Linked DNA regions of Oryza sativa Japonica Group. Each later gene encodes a partner of the first gene's protein in a complex. Links are inferred from orthologs where the notes say so. Each region holds a gene or a part of one and is shown in the gene's direction. Other genes may lie near its edges. The genes, in order: protein PLASTID TRANSCRIPTIONALLY ACTIVE 14; thioredoxin-like fold domain-containing protein MRL7 homolog, chloroplastic; protein PLASTID TRANSCRIPTIONALLY ACTIVE 12, chloroplastic-like.

The links.
Region 2: protein PLASTID TRANSCRIPTIONALLY ACTIVE 14 (region 1) and thioredoxin-like fold domain-containing protein MRL7 homolog, chloroplastic share a complex: the UniProt entries of both Arabidopsis thaliana proteins name them as parts of the transcriptionally active chromosome (TAC) complex. The link is inferred for Oryza sativa Japonica Group from reciprocal best matches to the Arabidopsis thaliana genes PTAC14 and MRL7.
Region 3: protein PLASTID TRANSCRIPTIONALLY ACTIVE 14 (region 1) and protein PLASTID TRANSCRIPTIONALLY ACTIVE 12, chloroplastic-like share a complex: the UniProt entries of both Arabidopsis thaliana proteins name them as parts of the transcriptionally active chromosome (TAC) complex. The link is inferred for Oryza sativa Japonica Group from reciprocal best matches to the Arabidopsis thaliana genes PTAC14 and PTAC12.

What each region holds. Positions count from the first base shown.
Region 1 is NC_089039.1:29,435,639-29,442,435, forward strand, and holds protein PLASTID TRANSCRIPTIONALLY ACTIVE 14, read left to right. Parts: upstream 1-2,165; 5' UTR 2,166-2,219; coding exon 2,220-2,483; intron 2,484-2,576; coding exon 2,577-2,714; intron 2,715-3,266; coding exon 3,267-3,392; intron 3,393-3,684; coding exon 3,685-3,813; intron 3,814-3,898; coding exon 3,899-3,988; intron 3,989-4,062; coding exon 4,063-4,213; intron 4,214-4,754; coding exon 4,755-4,864; intron 4,865-5,037; coding exon 5,038-5,106; intron 5,107-5,403; coding exon 5,404-5,509; intron 5,510-5,598; coding exon 5,599-5,796; intron 5,797-5,889; coding exon 5,890-5,932; intron 5,933-6,030; coding exon 6,031-6,109; 3' UTR 6,110-6,414; downstream 6,415-6,797. UniProt on the Arabidopsis thaliana protein: Essential for chloroplast development, especially for thylakoid formation. Involved in plastid gene expression, probably by maintaining plastid-encoded RNA polymerase (PEP) activity.
Region 2 is NC_089035.1:36,099,920-36,106,847, forward strand, and holds thioredoxin-like fold domain-containing protein MRL7 homolog, chloroplastic, read left to right. Parts: upstream 1-2,313; 5' UTR 2,314-2,395; coding exon 2,396-3,048; intron 3,049-3,324; coding exon 3,325-3,409; intron 3,410-3,502; coding exon 3,503-3,614; intron 3,615-3,793; coding exon 3,794-3,897; 3' UTR 3,898-3,968; intron 3,969-4,111; 3' UTR 4,112-4,482; downstream 4,483-6,928. Other genes in the region: protein VAPYRIN, read right to left, coding at 5,232-5,696, 6,279-6,928. UniProt on the Arabidopsis thaliana protein: Plays an essential role in early steps of chloroplast development. Involved in the regulation of plastid gene expression. May positively regulate plastid-encoded RNA polymerase (PEP) activity through binding to FSD3 and CITRX/TRXZ.
Region 3 is NC_089035.1:33,073,233-33,080,161, forward strand, and holds the start of protein PLASTID TRANSCRIPTIONALLY ACTIVE 12, chloroplastic-like, read left to right. Parts: upstream 1-2,658; 5' UTR 2,659-2,796; coding exon 2,797-2,830; intron 2,831-2,906; coding exon 2,907-2,959; intron 2,960-3,081; coding exon 3,082-3,753; intron 3,754-4,639; coding exon 4,640-4,752; intron 4,753-5,123; coding exon 5,124-5,386; intron 5,387-5,927; coding exon 5,928-6,049; intron 6,050-6,300; coding exon 6,301-6,378; intron 6,379-6,477; coding exon 6,478-6,534; intron 6,535-6,714; coding exon 6,715-6,783; intron 6,784-6,929. UniProt on the Arabidopsis thaliana protein: Involved in plastid gene expression. Acidic transcriptional coactivator necessary for the transactivation of many PIFs target genes (class B genes), particularly during the regulation of hypocotyl growth.

The sequences.
Region 1 (6,797 bases):
GACTGTGGGATCGATTATCAGTCTCTGATCTTTCTTTTTTTTAAAAAAGCATATCAAACTCTCCCACAAAACTTGCTCAAGGGTGTGTTTGAGAAGAAGTGGATTGAGTAGATTGAGAAGATACGCAAAACGAGGTGAGCCATTAGCTCATGATTAATTGAGTATTAATTATTTTAAATTTTAAAAATAGATTAATATGATTTTTTAAAGCAACTTTTCTATAGAAATTTTTTACAAAAAACACACACCGTTTAGTAGTTTGGGAAACGTGCGTGTGGAAAATGAGATGCTTTCTCCCTCAATGTCCTCCAAACGAACGCTGCCCAAGTAATGTTTCATTTTTTTCAGGTATGTATTATTCTTTGTGTTTTTATAGGTATAAGTATAACACTCCTAAGTTAAACCGTTTTCAGCAACGCTGAGTTTTTCTTTTAAGAAAACAAATCATGATTGATGAGTTTCTACATGGTTTTTGGAGGAAATTGTCTGAAATTTAACGACATTTCTATGCACATGTACACTGAATGGAAAATGAATAGTAGCTCAATGAAAATAGAACATGGGCGTGCTCATGATGGCTAGCGCACATCATGAAAGTCGTATAATCATTTCCACCACAGTTAGGCCCGATCAGGAATGATTCTTTCCACATGAATATTCACTATGAATCCCATACAAATTAATCATATCATCATAGAAGACGTATGTTTTAAAAATCATGGAATAGGAGATATAATCAAGAAAATATAATGTATATAGCTGGAGCAAATATATTAAAAAAGAGTAAAATATTTCTAATTGTCTTATAACGGATAGTGTAGCAGTGACAATTTTTTCAGACAACAATACAATGTGCATATGTTTTCATGTATCTCTCTCTTTCAGTAAACGTATTCCCGGTCTAAATACACAAAAACAACAAATTATATATATGTAGTGCATCTATTGTTTTTAGGTGCCATATAATATCTATATTTACCATCGTATGGACACTGATATAAGAATATTTTTTTTGGAATAATGTTATAATAATATTAAAAATCTTAATTTCTTCATATATGAGTATATGACTAGATAATAGAATCCTTTATTGTTCTCTCTTTCTTTTTTCTTCTCCACATGATCTTAATATATGTTCCACATGGTTTTCTCGATTAGAACAGATCTGCCATCACCTTCTGAGCACAAAACGCGCGCGCACATAGATAGATAGATAGATTTCTAAAAAGATAAAAATAGATAGATAGATAATATTGGTATGAAACAAGATTAATTGATTCCCTCCCCTGCCTCAAAGTTGAATGTTGTTGCCAGAGATAGGTCCTTAACGGGCTTTATTGCTGCTGAGATGAAATCATTGGCAAGATGTTTTACTTAAGTTTCTTTTGTTCATGTAAGCGTAAGCCATAAGCCGCAGAGCTGATGAGGTGGTTCATATGTTAGCTAGAACAAGCTAGCTTGCTGTTCACTTGGTTTACTAACAATGTATCCCTGGTTGTATAAAGGATCTTGTAAACTCTGAATCTTTTTACGAATGAATGGGTCAACCCTGATATTAATTTTTAAAAACATTGAACGGCAGGAGCTCTGCTGGATATATTAGAACCTTTATATTAAAATATAGAAGAAAAAACTATCTCCGAGAATCTCATCGATGTATTCCTTACAGTCAAGACAGATAATATATGAGGCCCTTGGCTGGCCTTTGCTGTGGTCACTAGAGGAGAGTAGGGCTTCGGCTGGTCAGTCGTCACCACTGCCGCTCTCCTCGGGTTCGACTCTCCACCGCTGTCACTCACTCTGTTGTCGCCACCCAACGAGGCCCACAAGAGAGGAAAGAGAGATAGAGGGAAGGTGAGGAAGAAAACAAGATGAGGAGGAAGTTGCTGACATGTGAGTTCTACCTGCTAACTCAACGAGTCAAGTACGGTCAACCTACCACGTTAGAGAAAACCGTTTTCCAAACCATAAAGGAGTTAATTTGTATCAGTTTTTGAAGATGGGAGATGCGCTATACCAGGTTGTGTGGTTGAGGGAGGTGATTCAATTAGGAGCGAACGATAAGGGAGCTAATATACACTTATTCCTCGCGAGGTTATAGATTTTAAGGCCCATGGGCCATTCATTTGAATGGGCTAAAATCTCGTCTCGTCCATCGCAGCAGTAGATAACGTATTCTTCCATCGCAGGAGGTGCGCTTCCTATCCCCATCGCCACCCATGGCGACTCCCGCCGCTTCCCCTCTCCTGCTGCCGCTCCCCCTCCCCCTCCCGGCCTCCACCTTCCCGCCTCGCCGCGCCGTTCCCTGCGCCCGCCGCCTCGTCTTGCGGCCTCCCCGCGCCGGACGCCCTCGCCTCCGGGACCCGCCTCCCGCGGCACCCCCACCGGCGGCGGAGGAGGTCGGCGAGGAGGAAGAGGACGACGATGCCCCCCCGCTCAGGCTCCTCGAACCGCCCCAGGAGGACGACCCCTTCCCGCCCGAGGTGCTCAATCTCTTCCCGCCTAGTTGCTTCCGTTGCTCACATCTCTTCTGCTCGCGCGCATGCATGCATGATGAACAATGTCGTCGTGTGCAGATGGAGCCGGCCGACCCCGACTTCTACCGGATAGGGTACGCGCGGATGATGCGGGCGTACGGGGTTGAGTTCTTGGAAGGCCCCGATGGGATGGCCGTCTATGCCTCCCGGGACGTCGACCCACTCCGCAGAGCTAGAGTGAGCCTTTCTTTAACTATCCCATCATTATCTTTCCAATTCACTGCAATTGGACATAAGTACTATACTTACAAAGGGGCATTACAAATAGCATGTACAAGTACAATGTAGAGCCAGCCACAGCCAGTACTCACTCCACTCCAGTACATATATATGGTCTACATTCTGTGGTTGTTACTTTACCATTTACTGCTAGTTGGTTAGCGTATGTATGTCCTACTATCAGAACAAATATGAATTCTACTGAATAGTACGAAATGAAGTCAATCTTTGAATTTGTTAGGTACTTTACGCTTACATATCTTCTGCTGCCTTTTATAATGCTATGCAAATAATCAAATATGGTGTAAGGACTGCTCACATTCAGTTTCTGGATGCAACTAAAGCTTGCTAGTGCTTCACTTTAATATACCACATAGAACTGTTCTATTTCAGAAATCATGAGGCAGCTTGCTCGTGTGTTCACTACTTTTTAAGAACTAGTTAAGTTTAATCACACACTTATGCATAATCTTCTTGGCATATATATAAAAATTCATTTCACTTTATCAGGTGATTATGGAGATTCCATTGGAGCTGATGCTGACTATAACTCAAAAACGCCCTTGGATGTTTTTCCCCGACATTATTCCACTAGGCCATCCCATATTTGACATCATTGAATCAACAGATCCTGAGGTAAATGGAGCCCTCTAACCCTCTAATTATGGTATGTTCCAGTGAAGACTGTATGTGCATTCCAGAGTTTGTGTTTTTTAGTTTCTACAGAATCACTTATGAGGAACATTGTGTAATTAAGATTCAATAGCGCTTTGACTGCCCATTCCATCTACTATGAAAATAAGCTGTTATATTGGATAAAAGGGATGGTATTACTCAACACTTGCAACCTGTTTTCTTCCTTCATGCGGTGTCAAAGCTTCATAAGTGATGTAGACTGCATCCTAACGCAATCTGTACCCTCTTGCAGACAGATTGGGATCTAAGGTTAGCTTGCCTTCTTCTCTATGCATTTGATGTAGAAGACAACTTTTGGCAGCTATATGGTGATTTTTTGCCTAGTGTTGATGAATGCACTAGCTTGCTTTTGGCACCAAAGGTATTGTAAATCTAAACAAAATGAATTGTAGTCTTCTTAAACCTGACAATACAGTTTGAATGAATTTACATGCCTGGCTTGCCAGGACGATCTAATGGAACTAGAAGACCAAGATCTTGCCACGAAAATGTTAAAGAACCAGAAGAGAGCAATTGATTTTTGGCAAAAACATTGGGTACACTTCTGTACTATTTGATCAACTTCGCTGGCTTGGGTACATCTAACACTAGCTTGATGGGTAATGTCCAGCATAAAACAATCCCTCTAAAGCTAAAGCGTCTTGCCCCTGACCATGAAAGATTTCTATGGGCACTGAGTATTGTTCAGTCTCGCTCTGTCAATTTGAAACTGAGAATGGGAGCCTTCCTCCAAGATGCAAATGTCCTAGTGCCGTATGCTGGTACATGTTTTCTTATCTGTTCCCCTTTATGCTCTTTATTTTTATTTTCAGTGTGTATTAAGCACCGATTACTAAAATTAAGAATAAAATCACTTAGTTTCTTCAGCTTGCGATGATAATCAGATGTCTAACAGTCTAAGTCAAGGCTGCGGTCTGAGGGATCTTTTGCTCCATTTATTTTGAGCTGGCGAATGCTATAAAGGTTTTTATAATGTTATAGCGCTAATGTTACTTGCACAGTAAATCATAGTTACCAACTGATCCAAGATATTATATTTTCTAATATCAGCACTACTTCTGTATGGTTAAACTCTGTTGGAATAAGGATCTAACTAATATCTATTGTCATTTTTCACACCAATACTACGCTTTATTCCTTCTAGACGTTCTAGTCAGGCAGTATAGTTACATTGAATTACTTAATAATTATCACAAAGGCATGAAATTCAAAACTATACTGTTCTGATAATCAGCATATTCTAGCTTCTGATTACTGATACTGAGTCTCATCATAACTTATAGCTTGCCTATTTGTCTCCAGATATGCTGAATCATTCACCTGATGCTAATTGTTTCCTGCATTGGCGTTTCAAAGATCGTATGGTTGAAGTCATGATTAAGGCTGGGCATGCTGTCAAAAAAGGAGATGAGGTACTGTTTAGAGCTTAGAGTACAATTAGCTTCCTTGTGAGCAAAGAGCGACTAGTTTAATGTTATATTATAATTAAAAATTCCTTATTTGCATGGAAAGTTGCCAACTTTACTTAAATGCCATCCAAAATTTCAAACCAGTTTGATCATTTCATTCTATGGACCCAGTACAGATGACAATTGATTATATGAGTGGAGTGAACAGCTCATTTATGGAAAGATATGGTTTCTCATCACCAACGGTATGATCATGTGTTTGATTTTAATTCTTGCTTGTTCTTGCAAGCCACATCTGTCCTTTCCCACTTGGCAGGACTTAGCATTGAGGAATATTGTGTTGGGTATAAGTATAACTATATCTGCGAGATTATGGTTCTGCTTAAAGGAAACAACTCTAGCATCAAATATGTTGTGCTGCTATGCTAGATTGCTAGGCATGTTAATACGATACCATGCATTGAAACAACTACAGTGTCATTTTTTTTTTTAAAAAAAATGTGACTTCTTATATGGTTGTGTGCACACAACAAACACTACAGAATCCTTGGGAGCTTATAAACTTCTCGAGTGATGCCAAGATTCATCTTGACTCCTTCCTGTCGGTCTTCAACATTGCTGGCTTGCATGATGAGCTCTACCACAATGGTAGGAACTAGGAACACATGACCTTGCGAACCATTCTGCAACATGCCTTGATTCGGAACCTTTGATTTGAACTATCCAATGTGTTGCAGCTGCATTGACCTCAGGAGAAAACAACTTTGTTGATGGAGGAGTCGTGGCAGCAGCAAGAACTCTGCCGACATGGTCAGAAGGTGATGTTCCTGCCATACCAAGCTTGGAAAGAAAATCTGCTCAGGCATTACAAGAGGAATGCCATACGATGCTGGAGTCCTTTTCAACCACTATTCAACAAGACCAGGAGATTCTAGGTAAGGCCCATCAGGATCCCAAGTATTAATTTAGCCTTTTTCATAGTCCTTCCGAGAAATACATGCAAATGATTGGTCTGTAATGTGTTGCAGATTCTGATGGACATATCAGAAGAACACGTGAAATCGCAATCAAGTATGTGAACTAGCAAGTTGTTTTAGCCATTGCTCCCATGAAGTTTATGTTTGTTTGTACCACTTGCTTGTTAACACATTTTTTCTGTTGATATGCAGATATCGGCTACACCGGAAGCTGCTCCTGCAGAAAATCATCGATGCATTGGATATCTACCAGGATAAAATTTTGTTTTAGATAGCTGTATAGGCAACAACTAGTTGAGCTCCAGTGCTAGTTTGCTAAGCGCTGGAGTGTCTTTAGATGATTTTGTGAAGGGGGTTTCACTCACATCTGTAACAGTAGGGATTTCACCTCATTCTTTTAGATATTTCCACTTTGGTAGATAGCAGTATAGTGAAATAAAGACAGTGCCCATGAGGTAGTGTAGTTTCCAGCCAGTGACCTGCAGAAAATCAAGTAATCCCTCTGTTTCGAACTACTTGTGTTCTAGTTTTGTCCTAAGGTAAACATTTTAATATTTGACTATCAATTTCTATAAACTCATATAGTCAAAGATATGTTTGACTTAGGATAAACCTGTAACGGCAAGTAATTTGAGACGGAAAGAGTATGAACCGAAACAAACGAGTTTTGAAATGGAACAGAAGCCGTGTACCTGAAGGGACTGAAATGGAACAGAAATTGTGGTGTTATGCTTAGCTTGTCTGCGTGCTTGGCGGCGTGTCGGTGCCCAATCTCTGCAGTTGTGCAGCCTGCTTATACTTTGATCGCCATCTTATTGAGATTGGAGTGCATAGTTATATTGTCGCCATGTCGGCCTGATATCAGGGAAAAAACTTCTCTTTTCCCCGGAGATAAAAAAAGGGGGGCGACCCCAAACAAACAAGCAATGAAATGGGACACGCGTCAACGAGTGTCGATG
Region 2 (6,928 bases), on another chromosome or scaffold:
TTTAAGCGCAACCATGAGTTTCCGTGTCTAACTTGAATCGTACATCTTATTTGAAATTTTTTATTATTAGTATTTTTATTATTATTAGATGATAAAATATGAATAGTATTTTATGCGTGACTTATGTTCTTTATTTTTTTTCAAGAATTAAGACAGATTATCAAAGGTTGAACACATAAACTCATGGTTGTGCTTAAAATGTACGGAAGTAGCAAGTTTAAAGGTGAATTAACTAACTCCAATCCTCATAGACCGGAAAATTTACTCAAACCTGGCTTTTGACTTAATACAGTAAGAGTGCCTTATTGCTTTACAAAAGTCTAATTAAATAGAATCATCTACGAAAATATAATCATTATGAAATTTGGATATGCTGTTCATCTCATGCTCTTGGCAAAGTATAAAATTAACTCTCGTGTTGAAAAATGCATTGTACAGCCCTCCTAGCAGAACATGGTCTTTTTACATGGGTTAACAGAGTGAAATGAATAGAACCCCGACAGTGATGATATCTTTGGGATAAGTTATGATATCTCTGGGATAAGTTGGCTCGTATAATAGAATTTCTTGGAAGTTGCATTCGTCGATGAAACGATGATTTTTTGAAATGAGGTATTTGTCAATAGTATTTGTTAGATTTTATTTTTTTATATATATACTTCTAATTTATTTATGAAATAGGAGTAGTGATATTAAAACGATGCAAAGTAAAAGTTAGCAAGCACTGAAGCACCGTCAAAAGTGAATTGGTGGGAGTACTACAGAAGGATTAACAGTGCCCTTCATACAAGTAAATTGGCGATTTGATTTTAAAAAGGTTCGTCGGCAATTTCACAAGTAATCACAAAGGCAGTACCCAAATGCATAGGGAACAACCCATCCTTTTCAATTTTCTTCTTTGTCAGTTACTTCCAGACTTTTTCTGCTTACAATACAGATTCAACAGTTCAGATGTCACTTTCTCATCTCGATCTTTTCTAATTCTAACCTTCTAGTACTATCTACATAAACTACGGAAAGAAGCTAGAGTTCTACTCCCTGACCCTTTCTAGGTTGAGTTTTTTTTGGATGGAATGAGTACAAATTAATGCTAATTAATAATTCATATACACTCCACGTTTGAGCAGAAAATTAAACTGCCAAAAAATACAAGTAATTGCAATTGAGCATATGTTCGGATGATTAATATATTTCATAATCCATTGTATCCAGCGCCATCATCAATAGCTGACACAGTGATACGTGTGATCGGTAAGTGATCGTCGGTCGGCTGCTGTACTGACGGTAGGCGTAATCCTCCAGGGACATGGATCGTCGACAGTACTGCGGAGAAGCACTATAGCTGTGCCCACCACAGTTTGTTTAATGCAGTGAATATTGAGAAAACACCGTAGCTATAGTGTGTTGATCTCTTAGTTTTTTTCTGTTATTGTTTTACATTCACTGTAGTGCAGAGGATGGCTAATAGATAGTTACATACTATTCCCTGCATCTCAAAATAAACGAATTTATTATAGGATCTACTACGGGATGTAATATGTATTAATACTTATGTTCAGATTTTCAGTAGTATCACATCTATAGCTGTTTGGTACGGCAGATGCTCCCTGTTCCATCCTCCACGAATTTCCTTTGCCTTTGAAATTCTAATTTTTTGAATAGGGGAATACTAGTACGCAAACACCCGTATTCGTCCTCTACGTACTGGTGAGCGCCTTAAATTCGCCGCCGAATCGATCGCGATTAGCCATCCGTTTTAATCAAGCTTCCATCGTCTAACGCACCGGCCGTTCTTCGCCGGTGGAGGGACAGACAGGGGATGCGGCTGCGCTACCTGCACCGATCGCGTTAAGTGGGACAAGCAAGAGCGCAAAGACAAGAGCGCAGCACGGTGCGGGAGCCCGGTGGATCAGAGCTAGTACTAGTATATACTCCAGTTTGACGGACCCAGTGCCGGCCGGGCGACGCGCGCCTGACGCCCGCGGATCGATCGATCGCCGCCGCGCGCCTGGACGAGCCCAGGTGCGCTGCCCTGACACGCCACGCGCGTGTTCATCGACAGCGCCTCCTCCGCACGGAGGAAAATGACGTCGACAGCGCCTGGCTAGCACCGTCATTACGTCAACCGCTGACGTCAGGTAGTTGGGCTTGGTCTCAAGTTCCCGACTGGGAGCACATGCATTGGGCCGGATACCAACACCACCAGGAGAAGAGGAATCCCGGCCCGATAGCACATATCACACGGATTTGTGCCCAAATTTGTAATAAGACCAATGTAGTGGGCCGACTAGTAGCCCGTAGCTCGGTAGATGCAGTGATGCACCAATTCGGATAGGGCAGGAAAGAACGGTGAAAGACGAGCGCCGCGCGAAGGCCGGTGAACTTCGTCGCCGTGATGCTTCGTCTTCCCACTCTCCTCCCCCTAAAACCCTCGCCTCCCACCACCGGCTTAAACCCCATCCACGGCCGCCGCCATGGCCACCACCCCAGCCGCCTCCTCGCCTCCTCCGCCCCGCCGCCGCCACCACCACGGCCTCCCAAGCCCGAGCCCCGTACCAGCCACGAGAACCTAGGCGACGACACCCCCGATTTCCCCACAACCAAGCCCCGCAAGCCGCGCCGCGGGCGCCGGAGCGAGGCGGCGGCGGTGGAGGACTTCGTGCGTGGCCGCCTCGAGCAGGTCTTCGCTTCCATCCGGGAGCGCGACCCCGAAGTCCTCGAAGGCAAGGGCGACATCTTGAAGCGAAAGGAGGAGCTCTCCGACGAGGAGGGAAAAGAGGGGACTGGTGAGGAAGAGGGGGAGCTGAAGGCTGTGGTTGAGGAGGAGGATCCCTCCTGGCCTCTGGACGCCGACATCGGGTGGGGGATTCGGGCGTCGGAGTACTTTGACAAGCATTCCATCAAGAATGTGACGGTGGATGGTGTGGAGATCGATTGGGAGAGGGAGGTCGAGGAGGGATGGGTCAAAGAGATCAACTGCTTGGAGTGGGAGAGCTTCGCCTTCCACCCTAGCCCCCTCATCGTTCTTGTCTTCGAGCGCTACAACAGGTATAAATCACTATTCTACCCAGACTCTATTCATGTGAACCCATAGTACCTATATGTTAGGACCAAAGTGATAAACTTCATAAACTTCAAGCTTCTCACTTTATATTGTCATATCTGATAATTTTGAATCCATTGAATCAAAAGTTCAGAACTACCCCTGAAGTAATGCATAAAAATGTAAAAATGTACTATCGTTTTGAGTTGCCTCAGAAAATTAGGTGTTCTACTTCCATGACAGGATGATATGTACGCGTAATGTTTTGCCTTTGTTTATAGGGCAGCTGACAATTGGAAGTTTCTTCAAGAATTGGAAAAGGCGGCTAAAGTTTACTGGAATAGTAAAGATCGGCTACCTCCTCGGGTCAGTGTGAATCATATTTATAGTTAATACTTGATGTATTACGGTAAGGTTATTGAGGTGGTTGGTCATATGCTAAATTTAATTGAGTTCCAGACAGTGAAGGTTGATATGAATATTGAGAGAGACCTGGCATTTGCACTTCAAGTAAAAGAATGCCCACAATTATTATTCCTCAGGGGAAACAAGATATTATACAGGGAAAAAGGTGAGTAGTTAGTTCCATTTTTATGGTAAATCCTGTTCACATAGTTAACAAATTGAATGGAACTTTGAATTATTAAATTCCTTGATTGCTAATATGCACTTTCATGTTAGGCCCACCTTTTTCAATGGTCAAAATTGCCACTCTGACAACACCTGATTGCCTCATTTGCTTGTTTACAGAACTAAGAACTGCCGACGAACTAGTTCAAATGATTGCCCATTTCTACTACAATGCAAAGAGACCATCTTGTGTTAATCCTGAAGCTATTGCACCTCCGTGCTAATCTCCTGCATTTCAGCGCTTATGTATTGAGACAGTGCCTTAATTCTCAACTCTTGGTGAGTGTACACTGTGGTAAGCTTTTCATCCAATGATAACCTGTTCCCCGTTAGAAAACTGTATTCTATACTGGTCATTGTTCTCTTTAATGTCCTTTCTCTGTATTAGTACCTGGTTCAGGGGAGAATATTATTAATTTTGCTAACTTTATTTGCCAGGAAAATAGTCTAAATAGACCAGTGTGGTTATGATGCTTGTATCTGTAATAAATGTATCACTTGAAGAGGAAGGAGAGAAACCTCTTACTGGCTCATCTCAAGTTGGGAGGGGGTCAGGTATCAACTATGTCATATATTTTGGTATGCTCATGTTTTTAGCTGTACACTTTCACCTTTGTACTGTACTCTAACAAAACATACAGTTCATCAAATTTCTAGATAGAACAGGAGGGAATGCTAGCTTAATTATCTGCGTGGCCATCCTGTTAAGGAGGTTGTAAAGTCGATTGTAAACTTTTGAGGCGTAGTGTAATGTCATTTCACGCCATAGATGCAAAATGAAGGCAGGGGGGTCAACCCATTTGTCATCTTATAACTCCTCTGATTATTTTTCAGTGACGTAATTGAATTTGTTGGATGGAGAACGATACAAGACATACCATACATGCATTATAGGGTCATTTTGGTAGAACAATCTCATCTTGTGGAACTGCTTTCAGATACTCTTTTCTTTGGTTAGCCCCCCTTTTTTTATCTTGGGTGGCAAAGGGGGTATAGTTGTGCTCCAAATTCCCATGAGAATGGGATGGCAATGCTTCCCCCGGTCTCAAAAACAAGTCGCTTGAGAATGCGTCCAGTCAGCATAAGTTAAGTTTGGCTATAAAATAAATTAAAGTATATGTTTTGGGTGTTTCCATCTATAAAAATAACTTGAACTATAGGTTTTGGGTATATGAAAATGATATATTTAAGTTTGTCATAACAAGAGCTTTAATAGTAGACTGTCCGCATAAGAGAGATCATGAACAATCTGCCACTGGTTTTGAGTGCTCCAAAAGGAATGCAAAATGCAATTTCTGATCAAAGGTACTAGTACGAAATGGAACACGCGTCATGTCAGCCTATGAAATCAACAATTATTAATTGTTCCCCATATCGAACTATAAAGAAAGGAATCCGATGCAAACATTCACTTTGCTTAACAAGAGTTACTGACAAAAACAGAACAATCACCTCTGTAAACTATAAAACTATACAGTACAATACTGTCACCTAGACTCCTGGTACAAATTACAAAGTATAAACAACAACTCTGGATTGAGCAGTGGACACAACGAATCTACGCACACGATATCGAGGAGGAAGACGAGGACGCGATGCACAACGCCGGCGCGGCCGCCTCGTCGGCGCCACGGCCTCGCAGCAGCAGCGCGATGGCCTCGTACCCCATCGTCACGGCCATCTGGAGCGGCGTCGCGCCCCGCCTGGTGGCGGCGTGCACTTCGGCGCCCATGTCGAGCAGCAGCTCGACGGCCTCGGCGCTGCCGCCTTCGACGGCGAGGTGCAGCGGGCGGTGCCCTTCCACGTCCTCGCACTCGATGTCCATGCAGCCTGACCCGGCGAGCAGCGCGATCACGTCGCAGTGCCCTTTGATGGCAGCAAGGTGGAGCGCCGTCAGGCCGTACTGGTCACGTCCCCGGACGCCGGCGCGCTTGCTGAGGAGGGACTCGAGGCTCTGGAGGTCGCCTCGCCTCGCCGCCGTCATGACCAGTTCCCACCGTTCCAGGACGTCCACCACTTCTTGCTACACCCACCGAACAACATCGTAACTACACCAGTATAACTTAATTTGTAATAAAAACGCGCTGCTTAGAGTACACTTCTTGCAAAACAATACTGATAATGCTGCTCTTGAAAAGTAACAGAAGTACTGTTCAACCATGTCATTTCGCAGACAGAAAGTCCCATGCTGGCCATTTATGCATTTCTGGTGGACAATAATGGAATTGCACTACTGTAGCGTCGTCCTACTCCTATCATGATTCACGAGCGCATCGACAGGTCACATAAGCCAAGCTACCTACGTACATCCTCCAGCTGGTCCATGATCCTCCCCGTCGGTTCTGTAACTTTTGTACGACCAGTGATGCTTTACAAGTCTACAACTAAATCAATGTTTTCCTAATTTGACACAAACGTTTTTACGACCTGCTAGTGCATTTAGGACCACACAGATTATGGTTCACATTCACACATGGTTGCACGGTTAGTTACCAGGAGGAATCTTTGTCGAGTTGCAATTAAAAAGCAGCATCCGAATTCCCTGAGCTTAGGTACACGACAGTAAGAAGGACAGACAGGTAGATTCTAGTAGGAGTAAACTTACATAGCCCTTCTCGCGCGCGACGTCCAGTGGAGTCCTCCCGCGCGCGTCGGTCGCCGCGGCGTCGGCGCCCATGTCCACCAGCGCCGCCGCCGCCTCCGCCTCCCCGGCCGCGGCGGCAACGTGGAGGGCGGTCCTCCCCTCACGGTCGCGCGCTCCCATCGAGTCCGGCCCCAGGCGCCTCACCTCCCCGGTGTCCCCCCTCGCGGCCACCGCGTGCAGTGGCGCCCACTGCTCGGCGCCGTCGGGCACCGCCGCCTCGGGCTCCAGGAGCGGCAGGAGGTGCGGCTGCCGGCGCAGGATGAGGCGCACGGCCGCGGCGTCCCCGGCTTCCGCCGCGAGGCGGAGCAGGTACGGCCCGCCGAAGAACACGCGGAGGCGGATGGCGGTGGTGCCGCCGGTAGCGGCGCTGGAGGAGGCGGAGGAGTCGAGGTGCGCGGCGGAGAGGGAGGAGAGCACGAGGAAGCGGTCGCCTCGGGAGCGCGGGAAGGACGCGGGAGCGTGCTGCTGCGGGCGGAGCACGACGCGGAGGGAGGCCGACGAGAGCGGCTGCACGGCGCCGCGCGGGGGGCTGACGAGGAACTTGAGAGGGGAGGAGGTCTGGACCTTGAAGGCGACGGGGAGGGACGGGTGCAGCGAGCGGAGGCGGAGGT
Region 3 (6,929 bases), on another chromosome or scaffold:
GCACTACCGTGAAGCGCCGAAAGTGTGTTGTTGTGAGCATAAGTTGTTCAAGCACCATACGAATGAAAAGAACTACGTAGACGAGACAAACACAAGTAGTACTGCAGTAGTAATAGCAAAAGTAGTACTGCTTTACAAGTTTGTAAGCCAAAAGAAACGGTCACATAAGGACTGAAGAGGTAGAACACTACTGACGATCATGTATAAGGCAAACGTTGGGCCTCATACGCACCACTGCAATGTGCACTCTCTCTAGGAACCAGTACCAGCTTTCAGTGTTCTCACTCTCTACAAATGCGAAAGCCATAGGTAGAACCTGGTTGTTCCCATCACACCCAATTGCTGTCAATATCTGACCTCGGTATTTACCTGTCATAAAAGTTCCATCTATGCATAGAACAGGTCGACAATGCACAAAAGCATTGATGCAAGCACCCAATGAGAAAAAGGCTCTTTGCAGCACACTCTTTGTTCGATCTTCAACCGATGTAAATGTATGTAGGTCATAGTAAGTATTATTATTCCTCTGGGCAATGGTGGCTAACAAACGAGGCAAATTATCATAAGAAGCTTCAAATGTGCCATACCTCATCTCAATGATCTTTTGTTTGGCTCTCCAGGCCTTTGCATAGCTTATGGTGTACTTGAATTTGTTCTCGATGTGCCTAATAATTGATTTTGGTTCAAAGCCAATGTTACCAACAACACTGCTGTACATCTCACTTGCCACAAAAGCTGAAGTGATGTTTCGGTGATACTTCTCCACCCCTTGTAAGTAGCACTTGTGCTCGGTCACAATGCTAACTTTCCAATAATCATTCCATTTACCCTTATATGCATGGACACGTCACGGACATTCTTCCTTCATGCACCTCACTTCATACACATAATTTGTTGACTTGACCACCCTAAACTCTCTCTGCAATGAAACTGCCCAATGCTTCACCGCCTCCTTCATCTCATCCTTATGAGCATACCTTGCACCCTCAATTACCTCGTTCTCCTTATACTCCCAGGGTACATGATCACCCTCTGATATAACAAGACCAGAGAAGTCCTCATTTGCCCAATCAGTGGCCATTACATCACCTTCCTCATCGGATGATGCGTCGTCCTCCGCTTGCTCATTATCCGAATCTTCCCTCTCCATTTCATCAACAATTATACCGACTCTCTCCCCCTCATCCGCCATGCCCATGGCCTGCTCCTCCCTTGGTTGATTTTCCTCATTTTGCATCGATGGTCCAACAACATCCCCTGCATTGCTAGGACCCTCCACATCTTCGGTTTGCATTGAAACATTTGTATCTTTCTCTTGTACCGACACAAATATAACGAGGGGCCATGACCGTTCAAAAGCCATTTCCACATACCGTCTCCAAGCAGCAGTGCTGTCCATCGGCATTAGTTCCCAAAAATAACCTTCTATTGCACGACTCACTACAACAGATACTGACATTGTGTAGACTTCTTGGTCTATTCTAAATCCTCTCAACAACCAACTATAAATTGACTCAAATGTTCTCTCCGCAGGCCTATCGATGCCCTTAGATGTCATTACAAAATCTGACAGATCAACACCATCTGGACCAAATCTAATATTTCCTTCACCGTGAACTATCTGAAATGTGACCTTACTTGACATTGTGCCTGATGAAAACAATAACTGCGTTAACCTCGCATTTCTGTACTACGCCCTAAGTTACATTCTCTACAATATTGTTCTCTAAATTTCTAAAAGTAGGTTACATTCTCCAGATCAAACTAAACTACATCTTACAATTAACACTACTGTCTATGTCTCAATTCATACTATTATATTCTATGCTCTGGATCTACACATATGTGCTGTGTGCTACAGATCTGCTAAAATATATGGAACTAAAACTAAAACGCAACATATGTACTCAAACGTAATATATTAGTACAAATGCAAAAGATGTATGGGAGCATACCTGTGATGAAGTGAGCGAACCAGCAGGGCTTCGCCGCTTCCCTTCTGCTGCCCTCCCCTCTCTCTCTCTTTCGTTTTTTTGGATTTTTAGTGAATATAATGAAATTTCACAGGGGAGGGGCTGGGCTTTATAGGGGGGAGGCAAAAATCGCCCTCCCCCAGGGCGGCAAGGGGGCCGCCTGCAAAATTCCATGCCCCCTCGCCGCCCATTTGCAGGCGGCCCCCCCGCACAGTGCAAAATCGCCCTAGCGGAGGGCGGCAAGGGGGCCGCCTGCAAAATTCCATGCCCCCCCTCGCCGCCCATTTGCAGGCGGCCCCCCGCACAGTAGAAAATCGCCCTCGCGGAGGGCGGCAAGGGGGCCGCCTGAAAAAATTCCATGCCCCCCCCGCCGCCCATTTGCAGGCGGCCCCCCGCACAGTAGAAAATCGCCCTCGCGGAGGGCGGCAAGGGGGCCGCCTGCAAATTTCGTTGACGGCCGTCGCCCGAGAGCGAACGGCCGTCTGCCACGTCATTTTCGCCGCCCTCTGGGAGGGCGATTTTTAAAAATCGCCCTCCCAGAGGGCTGTAGGCGACTATTTCCGTCAATTTTCAAAATGGAAAATTATTTTTGTAAAACTTTTAATAAAAAAAATTATAAATAAAAAAAATTCGAATTTGAAGTCCACCGGATAAACCCCGTGTTCCTCTTCGAAAACCTCTCCTTGTTATCCTGTCCCCTTCCGAAGACCAAACCGGCTACCTGAACTTCGGTGCGCGTCCATGGAGCTCAACCCATCCGCTTCCCTCCCCTAGCTCTCTCTCGTCCACCTCGGGTTCCAACCGCAGCATCGGAGGCGGAGCCATGGCGTCGTGCTCCCGCACTTGGCTCCTCCCAGGTGACCTCTCGCCCCTCATTTCCAACCGCCAATTCGCACGGCTCAAGCGAACTCACCTCCCTCCAATACTCCGCAGGCATGGCGCCGCAGGCCACCGCCCAGACTGTTCCTCGCCCCCTCCAGTCCTTGGTAACTCCTCCCCCATCGGAATGCCCGAGAAAATTGCTGAAATTTTACCGCGTTCCCGTGCTCCCAGTTGTCATGGGTGCTGAGTATTTTTTTATTTTGATTTGTGTTTGGTGCGTGCGCAGAAGGTGTTTGCTGGATTGCCTCACCGGAGAAGGGTGCTGTTTTCTGGTGTGTCGAGCAGAACGCGAAGAGGCAGGATCAGGAGCGTCAAGGACGACTCGCTCCATTTTGATCCATCTAAGATCGAGGCGCCACCGTACTCCAGTTACTTCGACTCCACGTCGGGCCAGCTCGAGCCGGCGTCGGGTGCTCGGGCAAGCATACCTGGGCAGGAGTACTGGCCGGAGGGCACTGCATCCCGCGTACGCGCTGCCCGTGCACCTGCACCGGTCGGGGAATCAGCTGGGACACCGTCGTTTGGTAAGAAGCCCGGGAGTAGAAGGAAAGGGTACAAGGAGCAGGTAGCATCAGCGACGGCAGGGAGAGGCACGGAGACCAGTGGAGATGAGGGAGAGTCGGTTGTGGCCATTGAGGCCTCATCAGATGAGACACTGGAGGAGACAAAGGATTCATTGGATGAGTACGTCGTTTATGAGATGCCCAAGGAAGAAAATTTGAGTGAATATGAGATGGACAAGATGATGGGACGGCCACACCCGTTCGTTGACCCGCAGAAGGCAATGTCTGTAGGGGAACCAAAATCTAGTGAAGAGCTGTGGTGGAACTGGAGGAGGAAGTCTGAGGAAAATGAAATGTGGTCAAGATGGCAGAGGAGGCGTCCAGATGTTGACACGGTTAGTTCTTGATTGGTTTGAACTTAATAAATGACTTATAAGTCTTTTTTACTTAAGTTTTTCTGCCTATTGTCACTTGTTAACATAACCTAGTAGCGAATATGATGTACACAGTATGGTTCTTATTCTCCACTCCTCCTGCTGCATGTCCACACCACAATTTTGAGGGTTTCAATTGTTTGTATGCTAGTCTTCGTATACCCTATTTTGATAGCACAAGGCACAAACACTAAGGTAGTACTCCCTCTGTCCCAAAATATAAGAACCTAGTATTGGATGGGACGCAGGATACTATATACTTTGGTTGGACACATCCCATTCGGTACTAGGTTCTTATATTTTTGGGACGGAGGGAGTACATGTAGTTTTGTGTGTGCCAAAATATCCAACCAAAGTATAGTGTTTGTAGTGCTAATATTTCCAGAAGCCACACAATGTCGTCATGATCATCGTATGCATCTTCTAGTGTATAAAAGATGCAAGCAGAGTAGTGTACACAGTGATGAGCTGGTATTTTTATTCTGGGAGTTCAAAATGAGATGAAATACTTAACCATATATCTTGGGTTCAGACAGAATTAGGTTCTTCATTAGCCTAGACTGGTAACATTTATAAGGATCTTCTGGGGTCATCTCTATTCCACGAATCCTAAAAGCTGTGTGGCTCAGTTGAACGCCTATTCCCCCATACTAAATCCACCACCTGGTAGATACACGTGCACAGCTTGCAGATGTGGCATTTCCTATACATGGCTTATCAATTTAATCTATATTGTTGGTTGATGTTTTTAACCTTTTTCATTATTCAGATTAGTGTTTCTTCTAACTTACAGCTCTGTGTCTTGTCAGTTATAATTTAAATTGTAACACTCATTTCATTATTGTAGGTCTTTGCAAAAGCAATGGCAGAAACTGGGCAGATCAAAATATTTGGGGACCACCCTACCAGAACAGAAGCTGCTCTTGCCAAGGCAAGAAGACATTTATTCAAAGAGGAAAGGTTGGCTGAATACTAGAAATTATTTTCTCAAAATTTAGTGATTTTGCTTTTCGTGGGTCTTCACCATATGTGAAAACCGTGCTTTTAATTTTAATATCTTCACCATATGTGCAATGATACTCTTTAAGCTTATGTAGACTCTTTAACTGACCTTTGGTATCCCCTCGTTGATTTATAACAAATATTTGATGGATGTTATTATGTCTAGTTGCCTACCTGCTGGTTTGTACTTCAATGTTACTTGTTATGACAGCAGAAAAAAATATTGACACAACGTCCTTTCAACATGATATTTTCACAGTATTCTTAAGGTATATAGTTCTATCTTGCCTTCCGTCCATTCTTATATTGGATATACAATGAAAACACAGGTTAGAAGCAGAACAAAGGAGACTAGAAGAAATAGGGCCAATAGCATACTATTCGGAATGGGTTGAAGCGTATAAAAACAAAGACACTTCACGAGAAGCTGTACAGAAACACTTTGAGGAGACTGGCGAAGATGAGAATACTCAACTTATAACAATGTTTCAACACCAAACTGCTGGGGAATTCCGTATCATGATGGGCACTGATGTTCGCATACAACGAGATCCTTTGGCAATGAGGATGCGGGAAGACCAGATCAAACAGAGTATATCTTCTTTTCTCAATCCTGATCATTTTATATTATTGACATCTACAAGCCGCTTTTGCTGAATTTATACATGGTCCATCCTACAATAGCTTCTTTCTTTAATCGTATTTATTCTGTTAAAATATATTGTATGATAAATCCTGGAAATTGAGCACATATTATGATCTTAACTTAGCACAGAAGTAGTGTTGGCATTTACCTGAGAATATATTTGGAACATCCAAACTACTTGTTAACTTCTATGGTTTGTTTTTGAAATAAATATGACAAACCAAACTTTGTTTCCTGTCCTGCTTATAGACTGGCATGATCCTGGAACGGAAGTCACTGGGTTTGAACACAACATGACATGTTTTCTCCAGTTTCACGTGGCACTGTTGTGACTGTTTGTATTTTTATGATATCTACATTGTTTCTGTATAAATGCACCTAAAATGGTCTATTAGAAATGTTTACAACTAGTATATTCAAACAAGTATTTCAGGTATACCCTGGTGCAGTTTACATGGGAATAATCTTTCCATATTAAAATATGCAGTTTGGGGTGGTGATCCTGTTTACCCAACCATTAACTACGTTCATGATCCTGACGAAGTAGCGGACTACAGGGGTCCAGAATTTCATGAGCCTACACCTGAAGTTGTACCTTACTTGATGGAGGTATGTCGTAGTGCTTCCACACAACTTATAGTATTTCACAATGTGCTGCCTAAAATTTACTGGATTCATGACGATGTATGGTTATTGATTTGGAAAGCCATGGCTGCATAAGTATATGTTACCTGTTGTTATTTATAACAGTACAATAGTATAGCACAGTACTAACAATGCCAGTCATGCGACAACTGGCGCTAAGCTGCTAATAGGACTGATGAAGCTCTAACATGATATATCGCCTTTCCCCTTTTAAGCATGGTATAATGATAACAAAGGAAGAGCTATATGCCCGTTTAAATGAAGAGATGGAAGACATCAATCAGGACATTACGGTATACGTTTAACTGTAACTCTGGTTTGGTATTAATTGAATGTTGAGAATAGGCATCACAAATACCTCTTTTACTTATCCTGTCTTACCTTCTTGACAGTATCTTCCTGAAGTCAGAGATCCCATGGCTACTGCTGTTGATATTGGGGAGCATTCTGTGAGTATCCATCCTAAATGCTTCTATTTTTTACCAAAACCTCTCAGTACAGGAGAAATAAAAAAAATGTAAATTCTGTTTCTTTGGGTTCATAACTGCAAAGTAATGCTAGATTATATAAAAGCTTCTCCATACAAACTTACGCGCATTTCACTGTGATGTTTTCTACTTTTCAAATAGTACAACGAAGATAGTGATGACGATGAGGAGGATGCTGACAAAGTTGTTGCGCAGCCTGAGTCACTAGAGGTATAATACTGTACTGTTTACTTGATGGAAATGCATGCAATCTGCGATTCTCAATGTAGCCTTGCGAATTTCTTCTTATTACTGGCAATGACAACAGATCTTTCAGTTCATATACATGCTTATTGGAAGCTGAATGCCTCTCTTGC